Linked DNA regions of Astyanax mexicanus. The protein of the gene in region 1 purifies or fractionates together with the protein of each later gene. This does not show direct contact. Links are inferred from orthologs where the notes say so. Each region holds a gene or a part of one and is shown in the gene's direction. Other genes may lie near its edges. The genes, in order: stau1, rpl6, eif2ak2 and fmr1.

Region 1 (8,156 bases):
AGAGTTAACAATAAACCATAATTTACTATAAATCAGTTTTACTAGTAAAATATGAATCAGATCAGTCCAGATTAAATAAATTGAGTGTCTAAAAACTGATAACACGTTTTAACATTTATTCTCTGTACTCCTGTTTCTGCACAGTCCACACCAAAGTCAATGAAAGGTCTGTCCAAAAAAGAAGGAGCCAAGCGCAAAATCAACATGAGTGGCTATATCCTGTTTAGCAGTGAGATGCGGGCGGTAATCAAGGCTAGGCACCCAGATTATTCTTTTGGAGAGTTGAGTCGTCTTGTGGGTACAGAGTGGAGGAACCTGGAATCCACTAAGAAGGGGGAGTATGAAGGTACATTCATCTTGATTTAGCCCTTGATCTGTTTTAATCCCAGCATAATCCCAGACAGCACAAATTGTATCTTTAAAAAGTTGGTATCTTGCATGCTGTCTGTACACAGAAAGGGCAGCTAAACTCGTGGAGCAGCAGGAGCGAGAGAGAGCCTTCCAACAGCAGCAGCAGCAACAACAGCAGCTGCAGCTTCAGCAACAGCAGCAGGCTTCCCCAAGAGCAGGTACCCCAGTCGGGATGGGGGTGGTGCCTCCCCCAACTGCTATGGGGATGCTAAATCAAGCCATGCCACCTATGCCAGGTAACCCCAAATCCCATTCAACCCCTTTCCCCAAGACAATCAAGATGCAGCATCTGGGCACCCTCCAAAAAATCCCTTCATCTACTGACCTCATCCATAACCCAACTCATTCCCAACATTCATCAGTTATAACACACACGCCAGCACCCCCAAGTGTATCTAATATGCTTTGGTTCATAATGCTGGCGATTTTGTATGTATTGAGTGTGTAATAATTGATACTACTTCTGTTTATTGTTTTTCTTTTTTTGCATGGTTTCTGTCTTTCTGTAACATCACATGCAAATACTACTTCTTTTCTGTCATTTGTCTCTCCTAGGTTTGACACTTATGGCTCATGTTATTCATTCTAACTCACTCCTCTAGACTTTTATTTTGTAGTGCATGACTCCAGACACATTTGCATGTCACCGATGCATGGATTCTTTTGTGTTGTCTCTCCCTTCTCACCCAAGGCATGATGGGAAATTATGGCCCACCCTTCATGCCTATGCAGGGCCCTCCTGAAGGCATGATGGGTATGGGTGGCACGCCTCCTCACCCTATGGGGGTGCCCCCGCTGCCCCCTCAACACTACTTTCCGCCGGGCATGGCTGGGTACCCTGGTATGCCCCCTCCTGGTAAGAACAATCCCACAAGCAAGCAACCCACCACCCAATCAGGGACAAAGTTATGTTATAGTAAACGTCACTTTTTTACCCTCTATGACAAGAATGATATTTTAGAAAAGTAGAAAAAGGTTATTTTTTTTTTAAATAAATGTTTTGAAGATTGCAGATAAGAATCTTATATAAAATGTAATTTCTATTTTCACTTTTCGTAGCAAACTTAGCATTTTAATCAGATGTTTTAGAGCAAAGAAGCATGTATTCTTCCTGCATAATGGTGCCTGAAGTTTACAAAATAAAAAATATTGGAGGATATAAACAGCAGAATATACTTCTCTACATATTCTTACATAAAGGATTTTTTTTTATTGGCATGTCGTGTAGTTTTGAGGCTGGTGTGGTGGTGTTGGCTATGTGTGGATACCTACTTATTTAAATATTTCTTCTAGTCCTTCTAAAATATAGGCTAAATAGATAGCTCTGTATAGGTAATTACAATTATATGTTCTATTTAGAACAAAGTAAATTAATAATATTTTTTTTTACTGATTTATTTATTTATTTATGTATATACTCAAATTAAAACTAAAATTTTTGACTAAAAAGAGAATCCAGATTTCGGCATGTACCTTAAACATCTGTGAGCATTATTAAAAACAAAAGCAAGAAAATTCTGTCTTAGACCATAAAGTAATGTGGTCTTGCATTGGTGGCTGGTTTGCAGTAATCCGTGTGGCAGTAAACTTTTTTTTTTATTTTATTTTTTTATTTTTTTTTAATATAACTGCAATTGTCATAATTGATTGATTTATTATTACAGGTAGACGAATCTGTCTCATTCTCCCTTTACTGTGATATTAAGTTGCTGATGATGGCAGTGGTTTATTGTAGTTATTTCTCACTTTCTCACCTATCCAACTGTTGGACTTCTTTACAATCTTTACAATTTGCACATGCAGTCACCTTTATTCTACTAATAAAAGTTAGTTCTGTAAACACCAACTAACACACCAAAGACACACATCACACTAATTTACACCTTTTAATCAATGTAGACACATTTAGCAGTTGCTATTTAAATAAGCAAATCTATTAATAATCTAATGGATCGCCAAACGTCACCATCATTTTCTTTTTTTGATCTTTTTTTTAAAGGTGTATTGGGCCCTGTTATGAATGGAAGTCCTGGTCCAGGAAATCCTTACGGCCTTCAGGTGAAGATTAATTTTAAATATAAATTTTACTATTTACTTTGCCGCTTGTACAGGTACGAGTAGTACAGGTACATTTGAATTTGTTTGTACTCATTCCTCAGGTCAAGCATTTTATAAAGTTTTAAGAAACCTATCCATATATACATATTGTCTGTAGATGACCGTTTAAATACAAGTGTGCAAGATATCAGTATGTCTACGATGAGCACATAATTACAAAATGTGCGGGTTATAAAACAATGTTGAATTTGTGTAACAAAATAGTGTATCTGCTTAATACAGTAGACTAATCATAGTTTTCTGTTATCTTATTATCCCAGTCTTACTGTTGTGTGCAATCAACCTAACTGAAAAAAGAAAAAAAGCTGATTCTGATTGGTCCGTGATGTCTGAGGCTGTTTTCTTGATGTATTTTAATTTTAGTTCTAATGCTGTCTATATGCACAGTGAACTGCAGGTCTAATGCTGTTTCCTTTTGTAGATGGGTGCATACGGTCCAGGGCAGCCAGCTCCACCGCCATATCCAAGCCAAGGTCAACCTGCTCACCAGCAGCCAGTCATGCCCATGTTTGTTGCTCCACCTCCCAAACCACAGAGGCTCCTTCATTCAGAAGCCTATCTAAAATACATAGAGGGGCTTAGCGCAGACAGCCCCACAATCAGCAAATGGGACCAGAGTCTTAAGGGTAATAGAGAAAATTAAGTGTCCAGATTGAAACCTGTTTATTTATTTTGAAAACATTGTTACAAATCAGTTTTTGCTTTTTCATTTTAGCTCAAAGGACAGACGGTCGCCTGAGCAGGGAGCAGGAGAGCCGTCTTCCTTCTCACTGGCTGAAGAGTAAAGGCGCTCACACCACAATGGCTGATGCGTTGTGGAGACTCAGAGATCTGATGATGAGAGACACTCTCAACATCCGGCAGGCCTACAATCTATAACCCTTTAAACTTTTGATGCTCAGGATCCTAATTTATGCAAGACTATACTTCAAACCAAATCTAATATCCTTTCTAAAGCAGCTGGTTGCTCAGTATGTTTCATAGCAATAAAAGAGTTCATCTTATTTTGTTTAGAAGTAAAGGTTTTAGTAATATCCGTGGTTACATTTATTAATGCACTGGAGTTGTCACAAATGCATTAGCTAATTTATAACTACTGATATGGAGTTGTCATATCAGCAGTGACTGAAATTTTTAGAAGAATTAAGATGAAATATGGTTACGTTGCTTCATTGTTTTGATCAATACATGTATTTTATTGGCTACACTTTTGTTGAGTTGAACAGATGTGTAGCGCTAACATCTCAGACACTGATATCTATGAAATATGTCTCTGGCTTTAACCACTTGAGGTCTTATTTATGATGTGAACACATCAGGTGGATTAATAATACAACAAGGTCGTATTTTACCAATCTTTTTTATAAAGGTGCAGAATAAGCTCTGTTTATCATTATTTTATTGATGTGATGTTTTTTGCATTTTGTATGGTCAGAAATAAGGCAGATGTGTGAGTTTGTACTTCAGTCCTTACCTGAATATTTCCACATAAAATTGACAATAAGAAAATACACTGTTGGTTTCTTTTCTTTATTTAAGCAATCGTGACTCTTTGTCATAAGGAGTATATTAAAGCCTCAAGAGTTGTACAAACAGTAGCAATAGAACTTAAAATGCAATGCCAAAGGGAGAATGGTTGTGGATTTAAAATATAATTGTCAGAAAAAATTACTGACTTCAGCAAGATGTGTACAAGAAAACAGGGTTAAAACATATAATATAATAATGTAATATGTATGTTCTGTATGCTTGTATTCAAGGATCGTTTCAAAAAGAGATCTCAACCCAAGCTTTTTACTTAAGTTATTGTATAAAAGTACTGGTTTAGCTATAGATATATAACAGTACCAGTCAAAAGTTTGGACACATTGTTTTGACACCAAAGCTGTACAGTAACATGTGGAATCATCCTGTAAACATTAAGGGTTAAACAAACCAGAATGTTTTTTTTTTATACTTTAGATTCCACATTTAGATACATTACCTTTGATAAATACAGTACTACTTCTAGAATGTTATCAAGAGAAAGATGGATGGTCTCAAGCGACTAAACAAAGCTGAACTGCTTGATTTTTTTTGCATTTTGCACTCAAAGGCAGCGTGTAAGTCTGGTGGAGAGAGCATGCCAAGACATGAAAGGTGTGATTAAAAATCTGGGTTATTCCACCAAATATTGATTTCTAAACTCTTAAACAATAAGTGTTAGTGTTTCTAAATGAATATGAGGTTGTTTTATTTGCATTTTTTGTTTGTTTAGATTATTTGTTTCTCATTTTCTGCAAATTGCTCTAAAAGCTCTAAAATGAATATTTCTGCTTGGAACTTGGGAGAAATGTTGTCTGTAGTTTATAGAATAAAACCACAATGTTTTTTTTTTTTTTACTCAAACATTTAACGTTAGCTATAAACATTAAAATAAGAGAAACTGGTCATTTTGAAGTGGTCTCCCCCCTTCTCAAACCTGCCTCGCATGATGTCACATCCTGGAAGTGGGCGGAAAAATAGGCAATTCTCTTTAGTGTTTGCCCTGTCCACCTTCTCCGCTCTACCTCACCTACATTTTAATTCAGAAACCCCCACAAAAAGCCTCCCATAAACCTGGATCTAAAGCAGGCCAGTGCTAAAGCTCAAACCGCGTCACTCATGGACTAATTCCCGGGCGGACCTGCAGTATATAACCCGAGGTGAGGAGCGGTAATGTGGCGGCGCTGAGCTGCAGAGCAGGGAGCAGAGCCGCTAGGTTAACTAACGCTAGCTCTGTTAGCTAGCTCCTGCTTTTTTTAAGCCCCCACCGGCAAATACCACACTGTACAATCCTGTACCTATAATAATGCGTTAACTGTGCGTGATGGAGACGTTTTATAGGTCTTAGACACGCAGTTGTCATTTGGCTGAAGTCTTGTTTTGTGTCTTAGCTGGCTAACAAGTTAACGTTAGCTTAGATAACCTAGCCATAGCTGTAACAATAGCTAGCATGCTAACCCAGTCTTTAGCTAGTTAACGTTAGCTATTTCCATCTGTTCTCTCTGTTTACACGGTAACAGTGGCTGGCTAATGCTTTAATTTAGGTTTACTTTATTTTCCTGGCAGCTGACACATTAATAATACAGTATATGTATGTATCTTGAGGTTTAAAGTAAATGTAACCTAGCTAGGATAGCTATTGTTATCTGTCAAGTTGTAGCATATTAATAGGTTTGCAAGCTTAACTAGACCCCTATCCTTGATTTAGTAAGTTAAAACTAACGTTATATATATTTAGCTTACGTTACCTAACCTAGCTGTCTATTTTTCATTGTATATTAGCTCCGTCGTTCTGTGTTGTCAGCTGCCTGACACTTATTCATTAATCTAACTAACTAACTTGCCCCCTATCCTTTCTTTAGCAAGCTAAAACTATAGTGAGCTATATAACAGCTCTGGAAAAAAAGAGACTACTTAATTATGTTTTCCCCTTGATTTTACTTAATTAAAAACATCTGTAATATAATCAAGAGGAAGATGGATGATCACAGCCATCAAACCAAGCTGAACTGCTTGATTTTTTGTTTCACCAGAGGTGGCATAAAGTAATCAAAAAGCAGTGTGTAAGACTGATGGAGGAGAACATGCCAAGATGCTTTAAAATCTAATAAAAAACCAGGGTTATTCCACCGAATATTGGTTTCTGAGCTCTTGCAACCTTATGAATATGGACTTGATATCTTGATTGTAGTTCAGGGGTTTTCAGTTTGGTAAAATCAAATAAACTCATCAGTTTTAAGTGATCTCTTAATTTTTTTTGCAGAGCTGTCTATTTAGCTATCTAGCAACTAGCTTAGCTGTCTAATTCCCATTGTATAACTTTGTTGTCTTGTGTTGTCAGCTGCCTGACACATCATTAATCCTTTTACCCTGGTCTTCCATGGTCAAGACAGGACACCAAAAAGACCACCAGAGAGCAGCTAGGCTACACAGAGCTAAGCTACTTAACTTAACTATTGTTTGGTGGTGGGTCATCATCAGCATTGCACACAGTGATTCATTGTCATACTGACGTGGTGGTTATGTGTTAACCTAGCTAGCTAGCTACTGTACTCGTGTTGTTTTGAATTAAGTGGATCAAATAAACACCTCACCACCTCACTGTCACTGCTGGACTAAGAATATTCCACCACCCATAATTATTTAGACAACAGTACTGTAGAGTACAGTTTGTGTGTTCCATTTGTGTAGTAAACTAACAAAAAAAACTAAAATGGATTTACTCCTTTTACAATGGACAGCTAAAATATAGTCTGTAATTAGTTATAGAACTACAAAGTGTTCTTGTATGAATAGAGCTTGTAATGGGCAGTGAGTGTATAAACAAGAAGGTGGTCAGTCAATACATCAGGACTTTGATGGCGAATAAGCACAGGAGCAGTTACTTTTTGTTTGCCATCCCTATCATCAGACGTATTCTTCTCAATGTTATGTAAATGCATATTGATATGCTTTGATTTTTTATTTTATATTTACATTAGGTAATAAGGTCTTAATCTCCATCATGTACGGAGTGTATTTACTGGACACTTGAATCTCATTGCTGTTGTACGTTGAATTATTTAAACATCCTTTAACATTTTTTTTATTCCTCACTTCCTGCAGGTAGAGCTTTGCAGTCTCCTTCCATTTAAAACACCTGCATTCACCTTTCCCTTGCACATTCTTGCAACCTCTCCTGTGCGCTTTTCTCCCTCCACAAGACTGCAAAGCATCTTCTGTATCCACACAATCCAGTCAAAATGTCCCAGGTTCAGTTCCAGTCCCCCACCACCACCACCACTATGGCCAGTTCTGCCCCTGTACAACTGACCCCACCCCAGCCTGGGTTCAGCATTCCCTCTCCTTCTGGCTCCCTACCTTCAGAGAGTGCCAGTCATCCACTACGAAGCTCCGCCTTGCCCTCAGCCTCAGCCACGCCCTTCTGTAACCCTACAGGTGAGTGAAATGTATATAGAAGACTAAATATAGTAATTACGTTATAAAGATGTGGTTTTAGTGTACTTTAGGCTCAGAACCTGTTCTGAATGTGGGAGTTGGTCAGATCTTCTCAAAAATACAGAAGTTATAGAATACAATGTAGCCTAATATTACTGTTTCCACTCTGTTCTGTTTCAGTATCTAACATGGCAAACCCTAAAGAGAAGACCCCCATGTGTTTAGTGAATGAATTAGCCCGTTACAATAAGATCCAACCTGAGTATAAGCTTCTCAGCGAGCAAGGACCAGCCCACTCCAAGGTACCACATACACATACAGTTCCTGAGACTTCTCTTCTGTTTGCTTAGATTATTTCTGCATTCATGTCCCTCATTTTTGTCTTTCTCTGTCTCTGACTCTCCTCTGTTTTAGATATTCTCTGTGCGGTTAACTCTGGGGGAGCAGCACTGGGATGCAGAGGGGACCAGCATAAAGAAAGCTCAACACTCTGCAGCAGCTTGTGCTCTTGCCCAGACGTCGCTGCCCAAACCCAGCAACAGAGGACCTCGCCATCAGGGCAGGAACCCAGGTGGGTTCTACAAGGGCGAGTGTACGTTCTGTTACATTCAAATTCTATAGTCTGTGGCTTCCTTACCATCTTCAGTCAGAAGAACTAATGCATG
Region 2 (8,528 bases), on another chromosome or scaffold:
AGAGAAATATATACATATTTATTTTGTATTTATTTATTTGTTTATTTTTGCTGTCAAATAACTTTTTGGAGTCCTAAAAGTTTTTTTTTTTTTTGCACATAAAATGTAGGAATTTTAAATTTAAGATTAAAATTTTAACATTTTTTAAATGTAAATAGTAAAATAAACTTATGTGTTTGGCCAAATAAGAGAAAAGACTTTATCAGTTTATTTCTTCACAAACTGCCTGTATTTGTTTGTTTACCAAAACCTAGCTCGAGTAGCTCTGCTAAGGTAAACTCCTGATTAGAGTAGCACTGTGTAGGTAAATTCTTCATTAGATTAGCAATGCTAAGGTAAATTCTTGATTAGAGCAGCACTGAGTAGGTAAATTCATGATTAGAGTAGTGCTGCAGAGGCAATTTTTAATTAGGGCAGCGCTCCCGAGGAAAACACATGATTAGTGTAGCACTACTAAGGTTTGTATGCTGAGATATTAAAACTATTATTAAATTTAAGTTTTTTTTTTTAACTGCATTATGTGACAACAATGTGTTTAGTTTATGTAATTGATTCAGTGGTGATAAAAGTGACAAAATGAATGACAGAACTTTAAAACAGTGTTCTGTATTCGGACAGACTTTTTATTTTGTAAAAATAATGATTTATGTACAACACTCTCTAGGAAGTAGTGTTAAATTTTTAATAAAATACAAATAAAAAGTAGTCTCATTAAAAGGTTTAGAGAATGACTTCTAATATTCTGTTCTAAAAATAACATCCTGTGTTTGTGTGTGTGTGTGTGTGTGTGTTTGTGTGTGTGTGTTTGTGTGTGTGTGTTTGTGTGTGTGTGTGTGTGTGTTTGTGTGTGTGTGTTTGTGTGTGTGTGTGTGTGTTTGTGTGTGTGTGTGTGTGTGTGTGTGTGTGTGTGTGTGTTTGTGTGTGTGTGTTTGTGTGTGTGTGTTTGTGTGTGTGTGTGTGTGTTTGTGTGTGTGTGTTTGTGTGTGTGTGTTTGTGTGTGTGTGTTTGTGTGTGTGTGTGTGTGTGTGTCAGCTTGAGGACACTCTGTGGGCGGGGCTCACTGACCTCCACATAAAGACACCGATGGGCGTCACAGCAGAGAACCTGGCAGAGAAATATCAGATCAGCCGGGAGGACTGTGATCAGTACGCCTATCAGACTCAGCAGAGATGGAAAGCAGGTGAATTTTACACTGCAGCACCAGTGCTTAACTCACTATCGGCTCGTTTCTAACCCGCCTGTTTCCTCCTGCAGCTCACGAGGCCGGATACTACACCGCTGAGATCGAGCCCATCGAGGTGAAGGGCAAGAAGGGCAAAGTGCCCATGACCCACGACGAGCACCCCCGTCCCCAGACCACGCTGGAGCAGATGGCCAAGCTGCCGTCCGTCTTCAAAAAAGGAGGAACAGTTACTGCAGCTAATGCTTCTGTGGGTATCAAAATAAAACACATTTTACTGTTTATTATTAACTCACCTTAAAATTAATACATATTAAACACAGAGAGAGAAACTGTATAGTGTACGCTAGGGGTGGGAGATATGGCCCTAAAATAAGAATTTTATCAGGTTTGTAACAGAAGTCAATGATCCAGAATATCATGATACTAATAATAATAATGCACTCCAAATATCTCCATATATCCAGGATTAAAGTAAAATAAATGATACTGGACAGATATAATCTGTCTCTAGTAGATATATAATTGGGAAATGAGAACAGTGTGGGACTGGGGACTGTTTACATTAACACGTGATTAATCTGGAGATTTTAACACGTTATTTTCAATGGCAATAATCACGTGACAAAATACACAGAGCCCACTTCAGTATTACTGGTTTAATTTGTGTTTAGAAAGTAGATTACTTTTTAATTTATACTGAAATTTAGAGAGTAATAAATAAACACAGAGCACACATCGTGTTTCCACTGTGTTGTTGAATGTGGAATATGGAGCTACACTTATAGTAGCATCAACACTACCAGGTCTGCCAGAAACACCACACTACACCACTAGTGTTACATAAATGATTATAAACATTGTTTTTCACACTTTAAACAAATCTTTCTCTCAGGGTGTGTCGGATGGTGCGGGAGCCGTGGTTATAGCCAGTGAGGATGCTCTGAAGGAGCACAAGCTCACCCCATTGGCTAGAATCGTGGCCTATCACGCCTCAGGCTGTGATCCCAGTATAATGGGCATTGGTGAGTTATAATCATGCACTTAAAACTGAATAAAAAGTAGAAAAATAGTTGTTTTCTCTTTGTAAAGTGAATTTAATCTCCCTGCAGGTCCTGTACCTGCTATAACTGCGGCTCTGAAGAAGGCGGGACTCTCACTGAAAGACATGGACCTGGTGGAGGTGTGTGCATCAGTTTGATTTGATTACTCATGTCATGCAAATGTGTTATTCAAGTTTTAGATATTTAATCCAGGTTTTTGTTTGGTTTTCAGGTGAATGAAGCTTTTGCTCCTCAGTATTTAGCGGTTGCTAAAGCTCTGGGACTGGACCCAGCGAAGAGTAACGTTAACGGAGGGGCTATTGCTCTCGGACATCCACTCGGAGCCTCTGGAACCAGAATCATCGCACACTTAGTGCATGAGCTCAGGTAAACAGACTTTTAATGTAGGGAAGGAAGTCCTAAATGAGGGAAATCGCTCTATAAAATCAAACTGGTGATTCAGTTTTAGTCACAAGCTGTGGCTGAAGAGGGAAACAAGGTAAAATAAGAGCTCATTTTTACTCATTTATCTGCAATTTAATCAGTTAGACACAATTGTTCAGTGTTTTTTAGGAACTGTGTGCAGGGTGTGATATCCCAAAATAGCCTAAATATAATTAACAGGGGAATTTTTAAAAATCTTTTTGATCTATTAAAAACATTTGTAATGATTCGTTATCATGAAGCCATTGATTTACCCTTTCACCTTTTCTAAAAGAGACTTTAAGCTCTAAATCAGGTTCACTGGGGGGAGCGAGTGCTGTGCGTGATCAGGCGTACTGATCATTTTACCAAATTGCTTATAAAAGTCTTGTTAAATATGTCTTGTTTTAAAGTTTGGGGCTAAAAACAAATAATAATAATAATATAAAATAAAAATGTTATATACAGGCTTCCAAAGCCCATTAGAAAATTTAAACAAAATATATTACTTTTAATTTTATTGGATTTTTTTTTTTTTACAGAATATGTTGAGTCTTTTTTTGTGTGCATTAAACATAGGAAACATATAGGAAGTGCATAATTCAACTTCTGAAAGGAACAAAAGAATTTAAATAATAATCACTTTAAATAAATATTGTGTTTTGTTTGTCTCTAGACGCCGCGGCGGCCGGTATGCTGTGGGCTCAGCCTGTATCGGAGGAGGACAGGGCATTGCCATAATCTTGGAAAACACGAAATAAACAGAGCGTTAATCATGTATATGTTCATACAGACATCATGTTTAGACACCATGATTAAAGAACACTCCACAGAACTCCGCCCACCTGCCAATCATCATTAAATCACCATGATCTTCAAATAACATGCATATGAAAAAAAAAACATCTTTAATAATAAATCTCTGAGAACTCTTAATGTGTTTATAATGTGAATTGTGTGACATTAAAAACAACTTTGAACACAAATTAATCCTGTTAACAAAACTACAGAGTCTGGGGATGCATCAGCGCTTTTTTTAGTTTTAGTGCTGTAAATCTCGTAAAGTTCTTCAGTGTGGAATATGGAGCTACACTAGTGTTTATTTCCTCCTTCAAACCTCTCAGTTAAACTCAGTAACTCATCACATTACAATATTCCCATTTAAAAGCATCAAAAATACCCTGAGATTATTTAGTACATGGTAAAAATAAAAATCGGGATCTTTTCTGCCAGAGCTAAACCACACTTCACTATTGTTATGGTCTCCCTCCCGAACAGTATTTTTATACATAAAAATCACATTTAATCACAAGTAATCAGTAGAAATACTCCAACATTAACTCTAAATTGTTCCACTGAAAGGTTTTCATTCTTCTTCTGTAAAAAATAAATGCAGTTTTGAAAATGTAAATCCTTGTGTTCTGTTTTCCAATAAAGAGAGCAAGTGCAGTGAAATGTAATGTAATAGTGGTTTTGCATTTTATTTTTATTTACTTATTCTGCAGGTCTGTGTGGAAAAGCAATGCATCTTGTAGATTGCATTTACATTTTTCTACAGTAGCGTTTGCTTTTCAATTTGGCAGTAATTCCTCTTTATATTTACAGCAGCTGTGAATATATATATATACAATCTTTAGGTCTGGAGCTCCGCGTGGTGATGAGAGTGTTGGCCTACAGGGGGCAGTCTGACTCCTCCTGCCGCACGAGCTCCACAACAAGAACCGCAGAAAAAGAGCCGAAACACCAAAGAGCCGGAATAGAGGATAATACCCACTGCAGAACATCTTCAGTATTTGTCCCGAGTGAGTCCAGAAAAAATGAGTGTGTTCATGTGGAGCAATTGAGAAAAATCCTATTTTATAAACGTTAAATAATTTTAAGACTGAAACACAAAGCAGTGCAAAATGTTTGAGAATTGCAGGGGTTATTTTATAAGCTTTTAAACTCTCCAGCCAAACCATTACAGCTCAAGGGAGCAGAAATATAGTGCATTTACTGCATAAAATTGTTGATGTTTTGATGTCTGCTGTAGAAAAAATGACAAATATGGTTACATTTTCTATTAGATTTTTTTTAGCAAAATGCATTTTTATCCTGTTATAAAAAAAGTTATTTTATTTTATTACCTGTTTAGCCCTTTCAGACATGAATTATCTCTTTCATTTTGACCTTTTTATTTCATAAACCATCCCTAAACAGGATCTGTCACTACTGTTTATCCAGAGTTTTTGCAGTAGGCGGAGCCAAGCTACTGTTTCATTAATTTATAAACTTGTTCATTGGCTGGTTGATGGTCTATTCTGATGGACAACAAACAGCTCACAAATAGTGTTGCAGTTTGTGCAACAAAACATTAAAAAATAAAGAAAATAAATGATGTTTACTGTAATGGATTCAGGGTCTCGGTCTCCCGCGCGGGCTCCCTCTAGCGGCTGGCGGTGATTCTCCGCCATTTTGAAGTGGTCAGTCTCGCCCCATAAACCAGCTCTGTTTACACGTCATGCGCGTATATATAGGTGAAAGTCCCGGATGTCGGTCTTTTTTCCCTAGCTTAAGGTAATCACGCTCTCCATGGCGATGTTCTCTCAACACAATCTATAATCATCCGCTTTATCGGGGCCGCGCTGTGGGTTTAGAGCTTGAGAGAATGTGCTGTGGAGTTTTTAAGACTCTAATATGTGAAGATTTCGTGTGTAAAGAGTGAATTTAGGGATTAGATGATGTGTTTTGTGGGAGCGGGCCGCGGTCCGGCTGAGTGGAGCGGTTAGCGGGCAGCACGCAGTCGCTCCGGGCTCGGTTCCGCTGGAGCTTCCGCTGAGCTGCTGGATTAATTTTATTATTATATTTATTATGAGTTTAGTAGTGTATCTGCGGTTCTGTAAAGTGTGTGTGTGTGAGCTGTGCCGCTAGTGTTTAGTGAGTGTAATGTAGTGAGTATGCTATGCTAAACTAAGCTAGGCTAACGTTATATTCTCATTTATAAACAGGACAGTTCTCTTAGAGTAATTTATACTCGTTTACTTGCTGTTTAATGTATATAAAGTTCGTGATATTAAGCTTAAACTGCTCATAAATCAGATTATTCTGTTATTTTCTCTGTGTTGCACCTGTGTGATAGTTGTGGTATAGCTAGTTGCGTCAATATACGAGCTGTAGCCTTTAAATGACTGTAAAAGTGTTTTATTTTAGCTTAGTTTAACACACTGGCTGTAAAGTTATGCTTTAATTAAAGACATAGAGCTATGCATTTATATAAGGCTATTTTATTTTAGTTAATACAGTTTATATGTTGATATGAACAGTATAATAACCCCTGACCTTGGTGTAGCTATGCATGCATTAATAGTGCTGGGAGATGATGGAAAAATATACTATTACAGTATTTATGATTAATCCTGTGCTGCACAGTATTTAGTATTTATCATGTTTGACTCTCAAAATGCACAAGCAGTGGCAGACTCTTAAAAAAATCTCTGCAAAATCCAATACACTTTAATGCAGAGTACATTGATTTTACATATGATAAAAAGATGAGTCTTATTATTATTATTTTTAATATACACTATATAATGAAATACACTGTTATATAAGTGTTGGTTAAGTAGGGATTGTATGCATATTGTTTTTTTGTAGAAATTAGTGCTTTGGGGAGGTATTGGGAGGTTAGTTTGATTTTGACTGATGATGTAATTTGGTTTCAGATGGCTGAGGGCGATAAGAAGAAGGTCGCCCGTAAGGCGCACTGCAGCCGTAACCCCGTCTTGGCCAGGGGCATCGGCCGCTTCTCTCGCTCCGCCATGTTCGCCAGGCGGGCCATGTACAAGAGGAAGACCAAAGCACCTGAAACCAAGGTACCACACACTCACCTGTCCCCCAGTCCTCCTGCTGCAGGATTTCTATTACAGGGTTCCTGCAGGTCTTAAAAAAAACTTAAAAACAGGCAGATTCCACCAAAGATCTTAAATTAGTCGAGTGTTGATGATCTGTGGCACAATCAGATTTTTAGTTATTAATTATTTCTAATTCTTTAGTTTAACTTTTAATATATCGTTACATGGCATATCTACATCAAATACAAGGTATATAAGTGGGTTATAATGAAAAGTGTGTGTGTGTGTGTGCGCAAAAATAAGTGTTTGGCTGTTTGATCTCAGTGCGTTCTTGTTAAACACAAACTTACTAAAGTTGTGTTTGTTGATTTTTGGCAACGTTCTGCAGGTTAAACTTTCTTTCTGTAAATTATTAGGTTCAAATGATCAGTATAACAAAATTCAGAATAGAAATGTAGCTGTATTTAATAGATCCACAGTGATTCCCAAGCTTTCAAATGTATTTCTACATTGTATTCCGAAAAATAAAATTCTTGCCAGAGACATTTAAAGCTTTACTCTGTCTAATCAGAAGTTCTGTGTTTCTGGGGGCTGCTGGTGTTTATACCGGTGCTGAAATACAAATTCTATAATAAACAGAGGAGTCCCAAAGAAACGGACCTGTTTACCCACTACCTGTCCGTCAAACACTGACTTAATCACCAGAATACTGAGTTAATTCAGCTTCTGAAAACTGTTTCAGTCAGAGTTTAATTGATAACTACAGAGGTTCTTGCAGTAGTGTTTTGTAAGTGGTCTCCAGTAATCAATATAAATCTCACTGAACTGTAAAAGAAGACAGTTCAGTTGGGGACCTCCGTGTGAAGATTCACTGAGATTTGGCTTAAATTTAAAAAGCCCTACCAGATATGAAGTCTGTTCATAATGAATTATGGAAATGGTGATAATGCTGATATAATTATCTAAACTTTATATTTAAGTAGTTTTTGCTTGTTTTGTTTAACTGTTAAATCGATCAAGTTGTGATTAATTCATGTTCTGTTTTTTAGATTGAGAAGAAGCTGAAGGACAAGACCCCCACCACCGCCGTCAAAACTGTTGGTGGAGACAAGAATGGAGGCACCCGTGTCGTCAGACTGCGCAAGATGGTAAATAGACTGGAATTTGTTTTTATTGCTTTTATTTTATGAGTTTTAGGGATGCAAAATAATTATATAGGATGTCTAGATATTTCAAACCAATATTTGTTGATTTTAGTATTGTAGCAGAATCACTTGCTGCTTATTAACATAAAACAGGCCAAAACTGACCATGCTAAGTGGAAAAATTAGCTTATCAATATATTCCTTTTTTTATTAGTTTTAAAACTTTGTCGCATCATCACACCCTGTATTTTTTTAAAAAAGTCTTTTAAAGAGGATCAATCAGCTAAAAAGGGAACAAATCTCAGGAGAAACCTTTTTAATTTTATTGGTTCTGTACAGTTGGTTAAAAGCTAAAATGTACGTATGTATGACTAAGTTATATTGAAGTGTTTATCTGCATTGTTGCATGTTTAATGTTCCTTATCCTTTTTCCAGCCCCGTTATTACCCTACGGAGAATCCTCCCCGTAAGCTGCGGAGTCACGGCATCAAGCCCTTCTCTCAGCACAGGAGGAAGCTGCGCTCCTCAATCAGCCCTGGAACTGTGCTCATCATGCTCACCGGGCGCCACCGCGGAAAGGTACCAAACCTTAACACTCTTATATTGTATGTACAGTTATTGCATGTTTATTACAGCTTATTACACTCCAAACAATCACTGATTGGTGGAAACTTCACACTAGACCTCGAGCAGTTTGGACTGTGTGTCTCTCCACTCTTCCTCCAGACTCTGCTCCCTTGATTTACTTTAAATGAAATGTAAAATTTACTGATGATCAGTGATGGTTTAGAGAGTCATGTCTGTCATCTGCTGGTGTTGATCCACTGTGTTGAATCTGAATCAGCACTTTATGCTTCTCTCTCCTGACAACTTTTATAGAGCTGCAGATTTCATTTTCCAGCAGGAC
Region 3 (7,779 bases), on another chromosome or scaffold:
TTTGTTAATAAAAAAATGTCTTCAGATGAAGAGGATTATATGTCTGATGCTTTTCTGAACCCACAGTAAGTGTTGAGAATAATCTGCAGTTAATCCGCGTTTTAATCCCTGCCAAATAGTAATTTAGGACTAGTACGCTCAGATCAGGATTAGTGAGAAGCTAACAGGCTAACAGTAAACATTAGCACCCTCAGTAATAACTCTAATATTTAACTATATTAAACTGTATAATGCAAAATGTTGAACATATTTTGTATTATGCATGATACGAAAAGATAACTCATTAGCGTGTACAGCGTGATTTTATTATATCGTACTTTATTATATTATATTTATTATATATTTATTATATTATATTATATTATATATTTTATTATATCGTACCTAACAAAGTTACTTTTAGCCAGTTGATTCTATTTAATGGAAATAGTTTTTTTCTTAATGTTTATGATCATTTTAACAGACATCAAAATACTTTTGTCTCAATGTAGAATTTTTCCTTTTACTGCAGTAATATTTTACCTTCCCTATCTTTACTTTAGTTCAAATACAGGATTTATACACTGCATAAAAATGCAGTTATGAATATGTGGTATTACTGTGCACAGACTTATTACTGTCTGCTGCAGATAGCAGATATATTGTGATGTAATTGATGTAATTAAGGGAGATCTGTATTGTGATGATGTAATTATAGCACATATATTGTAATGATGTAATTAAATCAGATCTATGTTGCAATGATGTAATTATAGCAGAGTTATATTCTGATGATGTAATTAAAGCAGATATATTCTAATGATGTAACATGGTTCTGATTTGTGAGCCAGGCTGGACGTCAGGCCCGGCGTGCCGATGGTGAAACGGGAGAAGGCGGCTCGGAAGAGAGAGGATCTCCATAAAGAAAAATGTGTAGAGAATCGACAGAAAAGCATCAAACAGCAGGAGCTGGAGCAGCGGCAGGAGGCGCTGCAGAGCTCCATCAGCACCGAGAACAAGGGCTTTGCTCTGTTACAGAAGATGGGCTATAAGGCCGGACAGGGACTTGGGAGAGAGGGTCAGCAACGCAAAAACATCTGACATCACATTCACAGTCACATTAAGGAGATCGATGGGCTCAGAGTGGTCCAGTAGTCTAAAGCACTGCCATTATTATCAGGAGATGGCTGGTTTAAATCCCGGTCATGTAGCTTGTCATCAGCTGCCGGAGCCCCGAGAGAGCACAATTGGCCTTGCTCTCTCTGGGTGGGTACAGTAGATGGCGCTCTTTCTCCTCATCACTCCTAGGGTGATGTGGATCAGCACAAGACTGCATCTGTGAGCTGATGTATCAGAACCGAGTCGCAGCGCTTTCCTCCAAACGTTAGCGCTGTGATGCTACTCGGCAATGCTACATCAGACTGAAGCATATTTCCTTTAGACAGATTATAAAAGTGTGAGTGAAATAAAATATAGATATATATAAGACCAAATTGCATTTTTCATAACTAAGCTTCATGAACATATCCATATTTTTTTTTTATCAGAAACATTGACATTAATTTTGTATTAACATTGTCCAAAAACTTTGAATTGCTTCCCTGAATCTAATCTAAAAGTGGTCAGTTGAGGAGTCATGTGACTGATCATTTGCAATGACAGCTCGTGTGTACCCACATTTTATTTTATTTTATTTATTTATTTTTATTTTTTACAATTGTATTTATTTGATGAAGACTTACACCCTATAAAGCTTAGGCCTTTAACAGTAGGCAGCACACATTAGGTTCAATTTTCTCTCTTTACAGAGATTCATAATAATTACTGGTTGATCAGCCCCATCTATAGGCAGAATATTGTGTTTGCAGATGTATTTTACATGGTTGTTAACTGTGTTTTGGTTGGTCAGTTCATCCGTGCTCTAATAGTTAATTATTATTAATAGATGTTATTATGTTGCAGGTTCTGGGCGAGTTGATCCGATTCCACTCAACATTAAAACAGGTAGGAGGTGTGTCTGAGTTACGGGTCTGATCTAAAATGTTCTAGACTGGAAGGTCCTGATGTTTGTGTTTATTAGACAGAGGTGGGATCGGATTGGAGGAGCTGAAGAAGCGGAAGGCTGCGGAGGAACTGGAACATCACCGCAAAAAAGTCCAGATCAGAAAACAGATGGAGAAACGAAACCTGGAGGATTTCAGGTGAGCACCGGTATTTGGGAGGTGCATGTGGTCAGGAGTGTTCAGCATAAGTTAGATCTGTTTTTAACCATGTTATTTATGTTTCAGTATATTGTGTGTACAGTAAGGTGCTGTGTTTTTTACTTCATTATTTACATTTTAAATGTTATAAATAATAATGAATTGAGACATTAGTTAAATAGGTAATTCATAATAACTATTATTAATATCTTAACTAGTGTGTGGTAATAATTAGTTGAAACATTTTGTTGTTAATATACTCTTATTGTAAATATTTGCAAGAGTAATGTAGAGGCGTCTATAGCTGATTGATTATATTAGCATTAGACGACACTAAAAAAAAAACTAAAAACTAAAAATTGCAACCTCTAGAGTGCATTTTGACAAAAAAAATACTGTTTTTAGTTCTACAAGACAAAAAAAATACTGTTTTAGTTGTGCAACCCCTAGTTTGTGTTTGTGTTTAAATAACTAAATCTAGACCTGTTTACAACACAGAGATCGTAAGAGGTCGGAGAAAGAGAAGCAGCAGGCAGAGGCGGATCTGAGGCGGAGCCAGCGGGCCTGTCAACAACTCGACACCCAGCAGGTTAAAAAAAATTAATAATCTGATGATCAGATCTGATCAGCTTCTTTATATGTGTGAGTAAGATTTTGACCTTTGACGCTGTAGCCGCAGCCTCCAGTGTCCAGATTCAGTTGTTTTAATAGAAACACTAAGTGGTTGCAGCCCAAGCTTTATAATTTATTTCACTACCCCACCCACAACTGAAACCCTCCCTCACTGCTGTTGTCCATTTCCAATACTTATCGTATGAATTACAAATTGTTGCATTGCCCCTAATACGACACATGTCTGATTTTAGAACCACATATGAAAGTGGCCCAAATCAGAATAAAAACAAACAAAAAACGATTTTATTCTGTTCACACGCAGCCTCAGTGATGCCTGTTTTTCTGTTTTAGGGTAAAGTCGCACCGAAGGATGTCTGGTATTGGCCTGAAGTGATCACTGAGGAGGCAGAGCATCCTGAAGAGTCCAGTGATGAGGAGAGTGATGAAGAGGAGATGACGGTAAAAAAAAATAAACATGCTGACTTAAGAAGTATAAATATGATTAATATTCAGCTTACATATGATAACAGTGTTGTTTCTTTATGGTTTCAGTCGTTGGAGAAGCTGCAGTATATCACCTCGTACCTGCGGGACGTGCATTTCTACTGCATATGGTGTGGAACGGCATACAATGGTACACAAAAAATAAAAAAATCATTTTTGTTCATTTTTTTATTTTATCTTTTCTAAAAAAACAAGATTGTATCATAATAAATGTTTGATCGCTTTTTAAAATAATGATCAGACATTGTTTCTTGCTTTATAGATGAAGAGGATTTAAGCTCAAATTGTCCTGGAGATACGGCAGCAGACCATAATGATTAAATCAACAGGCTTCGTCTGGCACATCTGTCGTATAATTTTAGTTTTCATTATCTTCTTTCAATTTGTTCTGAAGAATTTTGTCTTTGTCTTGATATTCAAATAATATTTATTTGTAATAAATTCTAAAAAATATTTTGATTGTGTGTCTGGTTTGTTGAAAGGTGAAAAATCACATTCTGATGGAATAATGTAAGAATTTGGGAGGAAATGTTTATTTTTCAGTTGACGTTACTATACATTTTGAAGCATGTTTATTGTGTATATTTATTGTGTATAGTAAAGGTTGTATATTGTTTGCTGAAATAGAGATCCATGTTATCTGCTGGTGTTGGTCCACTGTGTTTCATCAAGTCTAAAATCAGTGCAGTTTTAATTTCCTGCAAAATCTTACAACACAATGTTCCCCTCTGCTGACAACTTTACAGGAAATGTGGATTTCTTTTTCCAGCAGGACTTGGCACATTGCCCACACTGCTCCAAAAGTACCAATTGGTCTAATATAATATTCTAATTTTCTGAGACACTGATTTTTGGGTTTTCATTGGCTGTAAGCTATAATCATCAACAATAATTGTTATATAATACAAGATTATTAACGCTTAAAATAGATCACTCTGTGTGTAATACATCCATGTAATATATGAGTTTCACATTTTAAACTGAATTACTGAAATAACGTAACTTTTCAAGCATATTTCTAATTTTTTGAGCTGCACTCGCTGTTATTAGTGGCGAGATCGGACTTTTATTTTGAAAAAAAAAAAAACGTTGCATCGTGGGGCTCGGCTGGAAACCGCTGCTGTGTTCCTCTAGTTCCGCCCTCTGTAACACGCGACCCGCGTCGGGCGGATTCTATTGGTCGGCTGTGTGAAGTCGGGCTCGTGCAGGGGAAGGTTTTTGATCAGAAACGAAACTTATGCAGGTTTCTGTAGATCAGGAGCGACAGCCGGAGCTCAGCTCTGATCACAGGAGCTTTTTTACAGCGTTTTATTATTTTATTAAAAAGTATTTATGTTTCCTTTAAACTAACTGATCTCTGGTGTTTTTTCACTCTGTGCTGCTGATTGGACTGTTTGGATTTTATTGATTTTATTGATTATATTGATTATTTTGATTGATTTATTAATGGCATCTAGCAGTAATTACATTGCTTTGCTGAATGAGCGCACTCAGAAGACTGGCCTGACCTACAGGTTTGAGGATGTGGACACTAAGGGTCCAGATCACAGCAAAATGTGAGTCCACCTGATTCCTGAACTTAACTGTAGCTTATTGTACACCTGTACAGGTGAACTGTAGCCCGGATGAAGCAGCTGTTTTTACTCTCTGTAGAAATTGACATTAGATTTCCCTTCACATTGAACAACTACAGGATATATTTATGGTTTTATCTGCTACTTTGTATTTGTAAACTACATATTTGTATATTTTAATTGTTGGTGCAGTTCTATAGATAGTAATATTTTTAAGTCCCAGTCCTCAATTCTATGATGTGGCAGTATTTTTATAATTTATTATTTTGTTACAATAACTATTTTTGTATTAATCGGTAATGTTGCTATGTGTATTTTCTATTTTATTTTACTTATTCTACTCTATGTTGTAAATATAGGTCTCTGCATATCAGTGGAACTTGCACCCAAGTTTTTCACTCACCTGTACATCTGTACTTTTGTGATGTGACAATAAATCTGATTTGATTTTGATTTCATTTTAATTTAAATCTTTTAAATAATTTAAATCTTTGTCAAAATGCGATTATATGGAGACATTTTATCACTATCAAGGCATAGGATTTTTTTTTTAATTTGTACAATTTTACAGTTTTTACATTCTAAAGAAATGCATTTGACATACGTACTAAACAACAACAAAAATCCATAAAACTCCTCATCTATGTTTGTAATATTTATGATTAAATTCGTTTTTTTTATTATTATTATTGGTATTTTTTAATATCCCTGCTACTGTTGAACCTGTTTGGATCACCCTATAGAAAATAAACTTTAAGTATAATGCTTTAAAATGTTTAACCTTTAAAACAGTAATATATATATATTTTTTTAATGTAATTTTCAGATTCACCGTGAGGGCGGTGGTGAATAATAAACCCTATCCTGAAGGCGTCGGACGCAACAAGAAAGAAGCTAGGCAAAATGCTGCTAAGAATGCCCTCAGTCTCATACAGGAGGAGGAGCCAGCTAGTACAGCAAAAGTGGTGGTTAGTTGAGAAAATCTGCACCTGAAAAAGACAATGGTGGAACAAACTACCCTCCACTACCAGATCAGGAGAATCTCTCGCTATCTTTAATAAACTCCTGAAGACAGAGCTCTTCAAAGAGCACTTACTCTCCTAACACCTCTAACACACTAACTACTTCTAACCTCATTTCCTTCTTCCCCTCCTTCACTCCTCTATCCTATTATTCCCCTTTGTCCTCCTTTTATCCCTATCCAAAGATGTTTTACCTTTAAACTTATTTTACATTGTACTTGATTATTGTAAGTCGCTTTGGACAAAAGCGTCTGCTAAATGTAATGTAATGTAATGTAATGTAATGTAAACATGAATACATAAATATATGCATATATATATATATATATATATTTACATCTACAGGTAACCAGTCCCTGCTCACTCGATGGTTTACCAAAGCTGACTCAAGCCAACTTTACCTGCTGGCTGAATGAATACGGTCAGAAGATGAGATTAAATTTTAAGTTCGTCGAGTCGATGCCGCTGGACTCCAACAATCAGCAAGTATCTAAACACCTCAAATTAAATTAAACCTACTTATAATGAGGCGGTATTTAATATTATTTATGTGATTTTTCTTTTCAGAATACAGTATGCCTGTAAGTTTGTTTGTGGTGATAAAGAATATCCGACAGCCGTCTGCAGAGTAAAGCGGGATGCGAAGGAGGAGGCGGCTAAACTCGTGTATAAAGCAATTAATGGGGAGAATAACGCTGAGGTCAGTCACTTACTGTTTTTGTAAGTGTTATAAAGTGTTACAAACTGAAATTGTAAAAAAAAAAAAGAAAAATACATTACATTTGTGTTTTAAAACTTTTATCACATTTCAAAATGCTATATGCACGGCTAATGTAGCTTAATAAATAAGAATTTAGGTACATCACAATAGGCAAATCAGTCAATCCTTGTCCCAGTCCCAATAATTACAATCCCTGTATGACCTGCCAAATATTTAATGGTCATATGAGTGTGAAATATGAGAAGCAGAACATGTAATAGTCGTAACTCTAAATAACCAGAAAAAATCCATCAAGTCAAAAATAAAACACTCAGCTTTCAGTCAATTCTCATCTTATTTTGACCATCGCTGTAGTAATGCTAATTTCTGCTAGCCAGTCTATGAGGATTTAAGTGCTTATTAGCCACAAGCTAACGAATGTTAGTAATCACCTCCAAACATTTGGTTTAATAAAACATTGTAATTAAAACTCAGATGATTTTAGATTTCTGTATTGCCAGATTATTATGACCACCTCATTCTGATACCGCTACTTACTTTTTTTATGTATAGCACTTTTTAATTTTTTTCGACAGTGTTAATAGTTAATGCTTAGTGTTCATGTAAATGTATTTAATGAAACTGTGTGTCTTAATATTTCTAGTTTATTTAAACTTTAAACTACTTCAAAGTTATGATTGTGATTTTAACAATAATTTATATTGAAGGTTCCCGGTGAAAGGACAAACGAGACACAACAACCGAGCATGTCAGATCTCGGGTAAGTAATGATTTTTTACTTTTAAACACCAGTATTACAGTGTACAGACCTGGACCTAAAAACTGAAATTTTTAACTTAATTTTTTTATTTAAATTAACTATTAACTTTTGCGGAAAAAAAGAAACATGAATCAGGAATCATCTTACAGTTGTTCCATATGTTTAATTACGTAACACTGATTTAAACTCTGTGAAAACCTGAATAATCCTGTTTATTTTGTTTTCTCTTAGCTACTCCCTGACTGGTCTATCCCTGAGCCACAGCCTTTCTGAGAGCTCTGGATTAGATAATAATTTTAAAGGTTTACTGAACCACTACTGTCAGAAAAGTGGTCAAGCCTGGGACTTTAAACTGGTAGACAAAAGAGGACCCGCCCACAATCCTGAGTGAGTATTCACAAAT
Region 4 (8,166 bases), on another chromosome or scaffold:
GTCTGCAACATTCACTTCCACCCAGATCTCAGTTCAGCTCCAGATTCTCTAATAATCTCCACAAAGTGACTTTACACCTCATTACACAATGATGGAATCGCCCATATTCCCCCCACAGTCCTGCTACTGTAGGCCATACCAGCACATCTGATTTAGAGATACACTGTAAACAAGGACACAAACAAGTCCTTATCCTTATCTCAATCACACTGCCCTTTACTACCGCCATTAGCCTGTGTGACGTTCACAGTGAGACAAAACACAACAGAGGAAATCTACATTCCTAAAGAAAATATATCCATTTAAACAGAACATCATCACTGCACACACATCATTTTACCAGCTTATATACAGTACCATGATTTTCTCACTTATTTTCTTACTTATGGCACCAATCTGAGTGTGTGTTCTAATCGAATAGCAAATGATTGATTCGGGTTAGAGTTTTTAACATAACAGGATTCCTATTAAAGGCTAAGGAGGTTGGGTCTAAACCCCATCATCTTCAGGAGTTTCTACACCTGACCGGCAGCATCACCACCTTGTACGGGAACTGTACTGCTCTTGAGCGAAAGAATCCCTGCAGAGGGTAGTGCGTACAGCTCAGTACATCACTGGGGTTCAGCTATCAAACCTTCTGGATTTATACACCAACCACCACCTGAGGAAATCTAGAATGATCATGAAGGACCCCTCCCATCCAAGCCACTCCCTGTTCTCACAGCTGCCAAGTAGAAGGAGGCTCAGAATCTTGAAGACCAGAACCAGTCGGTTCTGAAATAGCTTCTTCCCCCAGGTGACCAGGCTGCTGAACAGCCAGTAGAACAGTGTTCTGCCCAACCCACACCACTGCCATCACATACAAACTCACTGCACCCTGCATTTTACTTCACACTGCACCTATCCTTTCTGCACATTGTACTTCCCACACAACTCACTCGGTACCTGCACTTTACTCATAGTTACTAATACTAGTTACACCTGAATTATCTCCACACTTCCGCACACATACTTACAGTAAGCAATAATACATAAAAGGGCATTGTATTATTGCATAATACATAATACATAATATTGGCACTGCTGTGCTGCGGTCGTGCACAGCAGTGCTAATATTACACGTTATAGCACGAACCTTTAGTGTTTTATTGCGTTTATACCACAGATCCATTATCACTGTTTATTGAAAGATTGAAAATTAACAAGAACGAAAAAAATATATATGATCTGTTTGGTTTTAAAACTCTGAATGTGAATTAAAAGAGATCCATTGCTGCTCTGTTTGTAGCTGCGCTGATTGGCATGTAAGCACTGCATCACTGCTAGGTTACGTGTATGTGGCGGAGTAATACATGGAGAGCATTACCGGCTGATAACGGCACTCACAGAACGCCTCTCAGCCAATCACATTGCAGAGTCGAAACTAACTGTGGTATAATCTAGATTATTTGCACATGTATATGGCATTGTAATAACTATATATTCAGTTATATTTTACATTACATCTACAGTGCAAGTTATTTTGTACTGCATATTACATTAATTGTATATTTTCTATTTTATTTACTTATTCCACTCTATGTTGTAAATATTGTGCACCCAAGTTTTTCACTCACCTGTACCACTCTGATGTTACAATAAATCTGATTTGATTTAATAGTTGATGTAACTATTATAAGGTCTTGTTTTCCTTACCTGAAATAAACTCCTTTTACATTGACTTCAATTGAAAGTTAAGAAGGCTTTATCTGTCTCCTGTGAAACTGCACATTTGAAGACAAATGTTTTTCATTGGACAGTGATGGTGTGCACTATGCCACTTGGTAAATACATGTTTTTTTTTTTTAATAACTACAAGCCTATACCAAGCTAACAGAAAACTTACTGAAAATGTTTTGCATTATTTTTAAAAAGGTTCCAGGAAGGTTAGCTTTTAACATTACAGGCATAATGTTCCAGAAACGTTCTAAAAACATGTGAAATTATAATGGTTTGCATTAAAATGATATTAGAATGTTTCTCACATAATGTTCCCATCTAAATGAATACTAACATTATAAAAACATTAAAAGCAACATTCTCAAAACTTAACATCGATTAAAACAAGTGATGTTGCAGTAACCATACCATAATGTTTAAAATGTTAAATAAAAAATATATATATAAGAATAATAAGAATTCTAATAATATCTAGAAAACTTGACAGATTGAACTTTCTAAGAATGTTAACTGTAACATTCAGGAAACATTCTAATGACAAAAATAGATAGCTTGGAATCAGTCTTTACTTTAAAGCAGGAAATTAAAGGTAATTAGGACTATAGGTCATTTTAGATTAAGATGAGACCTTAAAGTATAACCCTATATTCAAATATTCAAAACACACCTTAAATTCAGTGCTTTTATCATTATTTGAAAAATTTCTGCATTGTAGATAATACTGTTAATACTAAATTCATCCTAACTATAAAGAAAAACATGGAATTATTTAGCAAACAAAAAGTATTAAACAAATCAGAATATGTTTTATCTGTTAGATTCTTCAAACAGTTTTCAAACCTCTTGCTGAGACGGTACTTTGCACATATTAAAATGTCCTGGAAGGACCTGGAATGGCTTTCAGTTAACAGCTGTGCTGAACTCATCCAGAATTAACTACTTAAAGAATGTCTTGCCTCTAAATGTGTTTGGGAGCATCAGTTGTAAAGTTGTTAAGAGGTAAATCGGTATACAGTGAATAGTTCTATTTGAGTAATGTTCTAATCCATTACTCCAATTGCAAGAATTACTAAATTAAGTAAAGATAAAATGACTTTAAGAAATAAAGGTCAGTCAATCCGAAAAATCTGAAGAAGTTTGAAAGTATCCTAAAGTGCAGTCACACGTCAAAAACATTATGATGAAACTGGCTCTCATCAGGACTGCCCCAGAAAACAAAGTAAGACCAAGAGTTTTCTCTGTTGCATGGGATAAATTCATCAGAGTTACCAGCCTTAAAAAACAGACAAGAGCCACCTAAATGCTTCACAGAGTATTTTGGTGTCTGTTTAGTACTTTTAAAGCTGATGTGCTTAAGTTTTTGGCCCTCTCTGGTGAGAATGGGTAATTGCAGCAAGCATGCGGAAGAATCAATGTAAACTGGGCAGGTGTGATGCAGTCTACTTTAAGAGCGGATGAATCCGATTCTAGGTTATGATACATATACATATATCAAGAACTAACAGAGTGAAAAAAAATGTAATTGTTGATAAGGACAAAAGTTGAGTCTCTGATAAATCACAGTATTGATATACACATTATTTGTAACTTAATACGTAATATGTGTTGTATGTAAACTCTACCAGAAGCACGATAAATAATCTTAGAAAGAATCTAGTAACGTTAATCTAGCAATCTTTTAAATAGTGATCCCCAGCCTTTGCAAAATTTTAGTCTGTGACTTGTCTTTAGATGTGAGAGGGTGTCAGACTAAAATCATCTAATGCAGGGGTGTCCAAACTACGGCCCGCGGGGTATTTTAGAAATAGAATGAAAGTTAGCCCGCTGTTAACCAGGTTTTTATAACGCTAGGTGTTTTAGCGCAGAAAAACGGGCCAAAGAGTATAAAAGCGGAGAGAGTGCGCATTTCTAGCGCAAAAAAACAGCCAAAGAGTCTAAAAGCGGCGAGAGTGAAGTTATAGCAGGAAAACGGGACAAGGAGTCTAAAAGCAGAGAGGGTGCATGTTTCTAGCTCAGAAAAACGGGCCAAAGAGTCTAAAAGCGGAGCGGGTGCGCGTTTCTAGCGCACAAAAACGGGCCAAAGAGTATAAAAGCGGAGAGAGTGCGCAGTTTTAGCACAGAAAAACGGGCCAAAGAGTATAAAAGCGGAGAGTGCGCAGTTTTAGCGCAGAAAAACGGGCCAAAGAGTCTAAAAGCGATGAGGTTGTGCAGTTTTAGCGCAGAAAATCCAGCCAAAGAGTCTAAAAGCGGAGAGGGTGCTCATTTCTAGTGCAAAAAAACGGGCCAAAGAGTCTAAAAGCAGAGAGAGTGCTTATTTCTAGTGCAGAAAAACGGACCAAAGAGTCTAAAAGCGACGAGGTTGTGCAGTTTTAGCGCAGAAAAACGGGGCAAAGAGTCTATAAGCGGAGAGAGTGAGCAGTTTTAGCGCAGAAAAAGGGCAAATGAGTGTAAAATTTGTTTAATTTTTTTTAATATTAAGAGACATCATGAAATTAAACATCAATTTGAAAAATCTTAGTTTACACAACACTGTCAAAGATAGATAAAGATAGTAAGTCAAGTAAAATGGTGTGTAAATGAAATAATCAGGAAAAAAAAGTGGTATATTTCATTATTTGTTTTAATACAGAGTCTGTGGCCCGTCACTTCAAATATACTTCTCCTTCTGGCCCCCATCAAAAAAAGTTTGGACACCCCTGATCTAATGTTAGTGTATGGACAGCATTAGTTAGGGTTTGATGAGGGGAGCGTGCTCGCGCTAACTGACTGACTGACTGAGTGAGGGACTGACGTAGTGCGCAGCTCCGGGTCACGTGAGTGTGTGTGGAGGTGCGGGAGGGAGGAGGGAGCTGTGTCTCCGTGTTTACATCGGAGCGGAGCGGCGACGAGCAGCAACAGCAGCCTCAGCAGCCTGAGCCTCGGCCTGGGGCTCCATGCACTGTTCCCCCTGCTCTCCAGCCTAACGCGACAGAAGCACCGAGCGCGCCGCCCTGCAGCAGAGGAGAAGCGGGAGGAGGCGCGACCACACGGCGGCGGCTGCAGCAGCCACAGACACCCAGAGCAGCAGCTACTGTTACACTGCGGGCAGCAGCAGCTAGCAGCGCCATGGACGAGCTGGCGGTGGAGGTCCGGGGGGCGAGCGGGGCTTTCTATAAGGTGAGTCTCCTGCGTTCCGTCCCCTCTATCTCTCTGCTTCCGAGTTTAGCTCCGTCTCCGGGACCCAGCGCGCCTCGCTGGGGGTCTGCGGGGCTCCGTGCGCGGCTGGAGCCGTCCAGGCTCGGTAGCTAGGCCCGGCCCGCCGGGGCAGTCTGTCTGTATGTAAGCTGTGTGAGAGTGCGTGTGTTTGCGGTACATTAAGCTCGGTTCAGCCGCTCATAACGCTGTATACCGGGGTCTGGTCTGCACTAGCTTTCAGTTAAACGCTGTTTTAAGCCTGTAATTCAGAGCCGGGCGCTACATTTGATTCACATTAAGCCTAAAATGGCTGGACGGCTGGTTTTAGGCCACTAGCTGCCATTGCTCGTAATGCTGGGAGCTGCAGGGGATGGTGGTTAGCTGGCTGTGCTACACACTGTGTGATTCTGGGACTCAGACTTCATAGTTAGCTGGTTTATCTGCTTCTGTTCATTATTAGGACTTTCAGTTTCAGTTAGGATTCTGTTTATCTGAATTGTAAAGACTGTTCACATCATTACAGCTAACTACATTTGCTATGCTGGTGTTTGAAGCCTATGTGTGGCATGTCCTGAGCGGCCAGCAGTCAGCACTGTGTCACCTGTTCATTTCTGTACAAGTTTGTGGCATTAGATCAGTGCTGATCCTGTTTGTCTGGCTGGCCACTGCTATTTTATATGTGCTAATATTACTTATTACTTCTGCTTATCTGTGCATACAGCATGGTAGTGTAAGAGAACTGGAGGCAAATGTTGTATTGTAAATGTGTACTTTTTTCTATATTCTCATCTGTATATGTCGCTGTACAATGAAAAACACGTATCTCCCTTTTTGTTTTTTTTAGTTTTCGACATAATTTAAACAAAAAAACAGTTCCTTTACAATTTATCAAAAATTCTTTGTGAACGGACCTCCAGAATTTCTTTGAAATGACCTCAAATGAACTCTTTTTACATTGACTTCCATTGAAAGTTAGGAAGGTTTTATCTTTCTCCTGTATAGTTGTTGTTTTGGAGATGCATGTTTTTCATTGGACAGTGAAAATATACTTTTATGTTTTCTATATTTAACACAATTATACAACATTTGATGCTGCATTTGACCTGTTCCATTTATGGTTCCGTATGTGCACGCTGTTCATTCAGTTTCTTTATTCATATCTTCAATCATTTGCACTTCTGCTGGTTAGATGTTAACTTCATTGAGCTTTTTTGGCTAGTACTTTTTTCAATGACAATGAAATTAAATTTAATCTTAATTGTGTTTAATGTATTAGATATAGTAGATGTTTTGTAGTTATATAGCAAGCTAAGTAAAGCAGCTCCAAAAAGAGGGGATACAGGAGAAGGATTTACTTAGTCAAATACTGATGCACTGAGTATTTGGCAACCAACATTATTGGGCTGAAAATGTAAAAAAAAAAAAAAAAAAGCACTTTTGGTGTTAGGCCAAATGAATAGGAAAGACTGAATTTGATTTGATCAGATTGTAACCAGCATGGAGTAATGTGCTGTAATGAGATAATTAAAAATGTTTTGCTCAACACAATTACAGGTCATAATAATATACTAATATAATTCTGTTATTTTAAAGTAAGATCTAAGAGACAGAAACCATTTGTAAGAATTCTCAGTTTCCCCATATTTCTGCTGGCTTTACTGCTTAGCTGTCGTCTAATGTTACACATAATTTACTAATGGAATACAATGTAATACTAATTAAAGCATAGGTCATTCAATTGTGTGGTGCTCTTTGTAAATGTGGCAAAGATGAAAAAAGTGCAAAATGATGAATACTGGGCAAAACGTGTTCCTTTTCATTTTGTGTGCTTTCTATAGATCACCTATTTTAGGTGGTTATATTGTTGTCACTTGTATGTGCTACACTACTCAGAATCTATTCAAATGCTGCAACCCAGTGCAAGCTTTAGAGTACATCTAAACCTGCATTTTGCATGCAGGCAATTTAAAAGTAGGGATGCCCTGATGTGTGAATTCTATATACACATTTATAAATTAGTCTAGCCTAGACACTTCAGTATAACTTCAGAAACAAAAACCTTGTATCTCAGATTTTGTCATATCAATATAATTGTTTGTACTCAAAATGAATTGTTCAAAAGGAATGAGCGGTCCAAAACATGACAAATGAACCAATAAAATGCTCAAAATTGAAATAAAATCTTTTTACATTGACTTTTAAAAAATAATGTATTTTTTCTTCTTCTCCTTCTGTTAATTCTGCCATCTTCATTAACATTGCAGTTCTCTAAAATCACTTCATTTCATGAATTTCAAGACTGGAATTTACATTATGTGTATATAACTGTTTGCTTATATTGAAAGTAGTTTCAGTGTAGAAACTGACTGAATGTTTCTCCTTGCAGGCCTTAATAAAGGATGTGCATGAAAACACAGTCACTGTGGCTTTTGAGAACAAGTGAGTATCCACTTATTTTGTGATGATATAAGTGATAATTTATTTTCATAGTAGGAAAAGTGGTTGCTGTGTATTTTGCTGTGCTGTTTGCTGAGTGGAGCTCAGTGGCACCTGAGGGTCTGTAGAAACACTGAGCAGTATTGATAAAATCAGTCTCATCAGTACCAGATGATATTTGAGTCAGTATGGTAAACTTAATGGACTCATTCTAAGTAAATGTGTTTTTTCTGTGCAAAAAGAACACAGGAACTTGTATTTGGTATTTGACTAAAGAATGTAACTATTCTGCTTCTTTAAAAATAAGCATTGTTATCTTAACCAAAGTCTCAGAATGTAAATCATACTGTATCATTATTTCATGGACATTATTATGCACTTTATAATGCACAGTATTTTGGGGGAAAATGCCATAGCAGTATAATTTTGACTTTGATATACAGCTCTGGGAAAAAAGAGGCCATTTCAGTTTCTGAATCGGTTTCTCTCATTTTGCTATTTATAGGTATATGTTTGAGTAAAATAAACATTGCTGTTTTATTCTATAAACTACAGACAACATTTCCCCCAAATTCCAAATAAAAATATTTTCATTTAGAGCATTTATTTGCAGAAAATGAGAAATGGCAAAAATAAAAAAAAAGATGCAGAGCTTTCAGATTTCAAATAATGCAAAGAAAACAACTTCATATTCATAAAGTTTTAATAGTTCAGAAATGAATATTTGGTGGAATAATCTTGGATTTTAATCACAGTTTTTATGCATCTTGTCATGTTCTCCTCCTCCTCCACCAGTCTTACACACTGCTTTTGGATAACTTTATGCCACTCCTAGTA

The links.
Region 2: the proteins of stau1 (region 1) and rpl6 purify together in Homo sapiens (affinity purification with mass spectrometry; 4 studies listed by BioGRID and IntAct, with this or other methods). This does not show direct contact. The link is inferred for Astyanax mexicanus from reciprocal best matches to the Homo sapiens genes STAU1 and RPL6.
Region 3: the proteins of stau1 (region 1) and eif2ak2 purify together in Homo sapiens (affinity purification with mass spectrometry; 4 studies listed by BioGRID and IntAct, with this or other methods). This does not show direct contact. The link is inferred for Astyanax mexicanus from reciprocal best matches to the Homo sapiens genes STAU1 and EIF2AK2.
Region 4: the proteins of stau1 (region 1) and fmr1 purify together in Homo sapiens (affinity purification with western blotting; 3 studies listed by BioGRID and IntAct, with this or other methods). This does not show direct contact. The link is inferred for Astyanax mexicanus from reciprocal best matches to the Homo sapiens genes STAU1 and FMR1.

What each region holds. Positions count from the first base shown.
Region 1 is NC_064412.1:10,366,243-10,374,398, forward strand, and holds the start of stau1 (double-stranded RNA-binding protein Staufen homolog 1), read left to right. Parts: upstream 1-5,012; 5' UTR 5,013-5,213; intron 5,214-7,158; 5' UTR 7,159-7,295; coding exon 7,296-7,491; intron 7,492-7,671; coding exon 7,672-7,793; intron 7,794-7,905; coding exon 7,906-8,083; intron 8,084-8,156. Other genes in the region: pbrm1l (polybromo 1, like), read left to right, coding at 145-346, 456-647, 1,103-1,267, 2,411-2,469, 2,951-3,155, 3,245-3,408. UniProt on the Homo sapiens protein: Binds double-stranded RNA (regardless of the sequence) and tubulin.
Region 2 is NC_064419.1:277,241-285,768, reverse strand, and holds the start of rpl6 (60S ribosomal protein L6), read left to right. Parts: upstream 1-5,183; 5' UTR 5,184-5,202; intron 5,203-6,347; coding exon 6,348-6,497; intron 6,498-7,525; coding exon 7,526-7,624; intron 7,625-8,056; coding exon 8,057-8,200; intron 8,201-8,528. Other genes in the region: acaa2 (3-ketoacyl-CoA thiolase, mitochondrial), read left to right, coding at 1,033-1,180, 1,255-1,430, 2,076-2,205, 2,293-2,363, 2,456-2,610, 3,323-3,407.
Region 3 is NC_064414.1:2,504,677-2,512,455, reverse strand, and holds the start of eif2ak2 (interferon-induced, double-stranded RNA-activated protein kinase), read left to right. Parts: upstream 1-4,447; 5' UTR 4,448-4,745; coding exon 4,746-4,855; intron 4,856-5,699; coding exon 5,700-5,841; intron 5,842-6,240; coding exon 6,241-6,377; intron 6,378-6,462; coding exon 6,463-6,595; intron 6,596-7,323; coding exon 7,324-7,376; intron 7,377-7,607; coding exon 7,608-7,763; intron 7,764-7,779. Other genes in the region: gpatch11 (G patch domain-containing protein 11), read left to right, coding at 16-65, 831-1,057, 1,942-1,983, 2,060-2,180, 2,679-2,769, 3,147-3,254, 3,348-3,429, 3,562-3,620.
Region 4 is NC_064417.1:21,673,145-21,681,310, forward strand, and holds the start of fmr1 (synaptic functional regulator FMR1), read left to right. Parts: upstream 1-4,565; 5' UTR 4,566-4,824; coding exon 4,825-4,875; intron 4,876-7,279; coding exon 7,280-7,332; intron 7,333-8,166.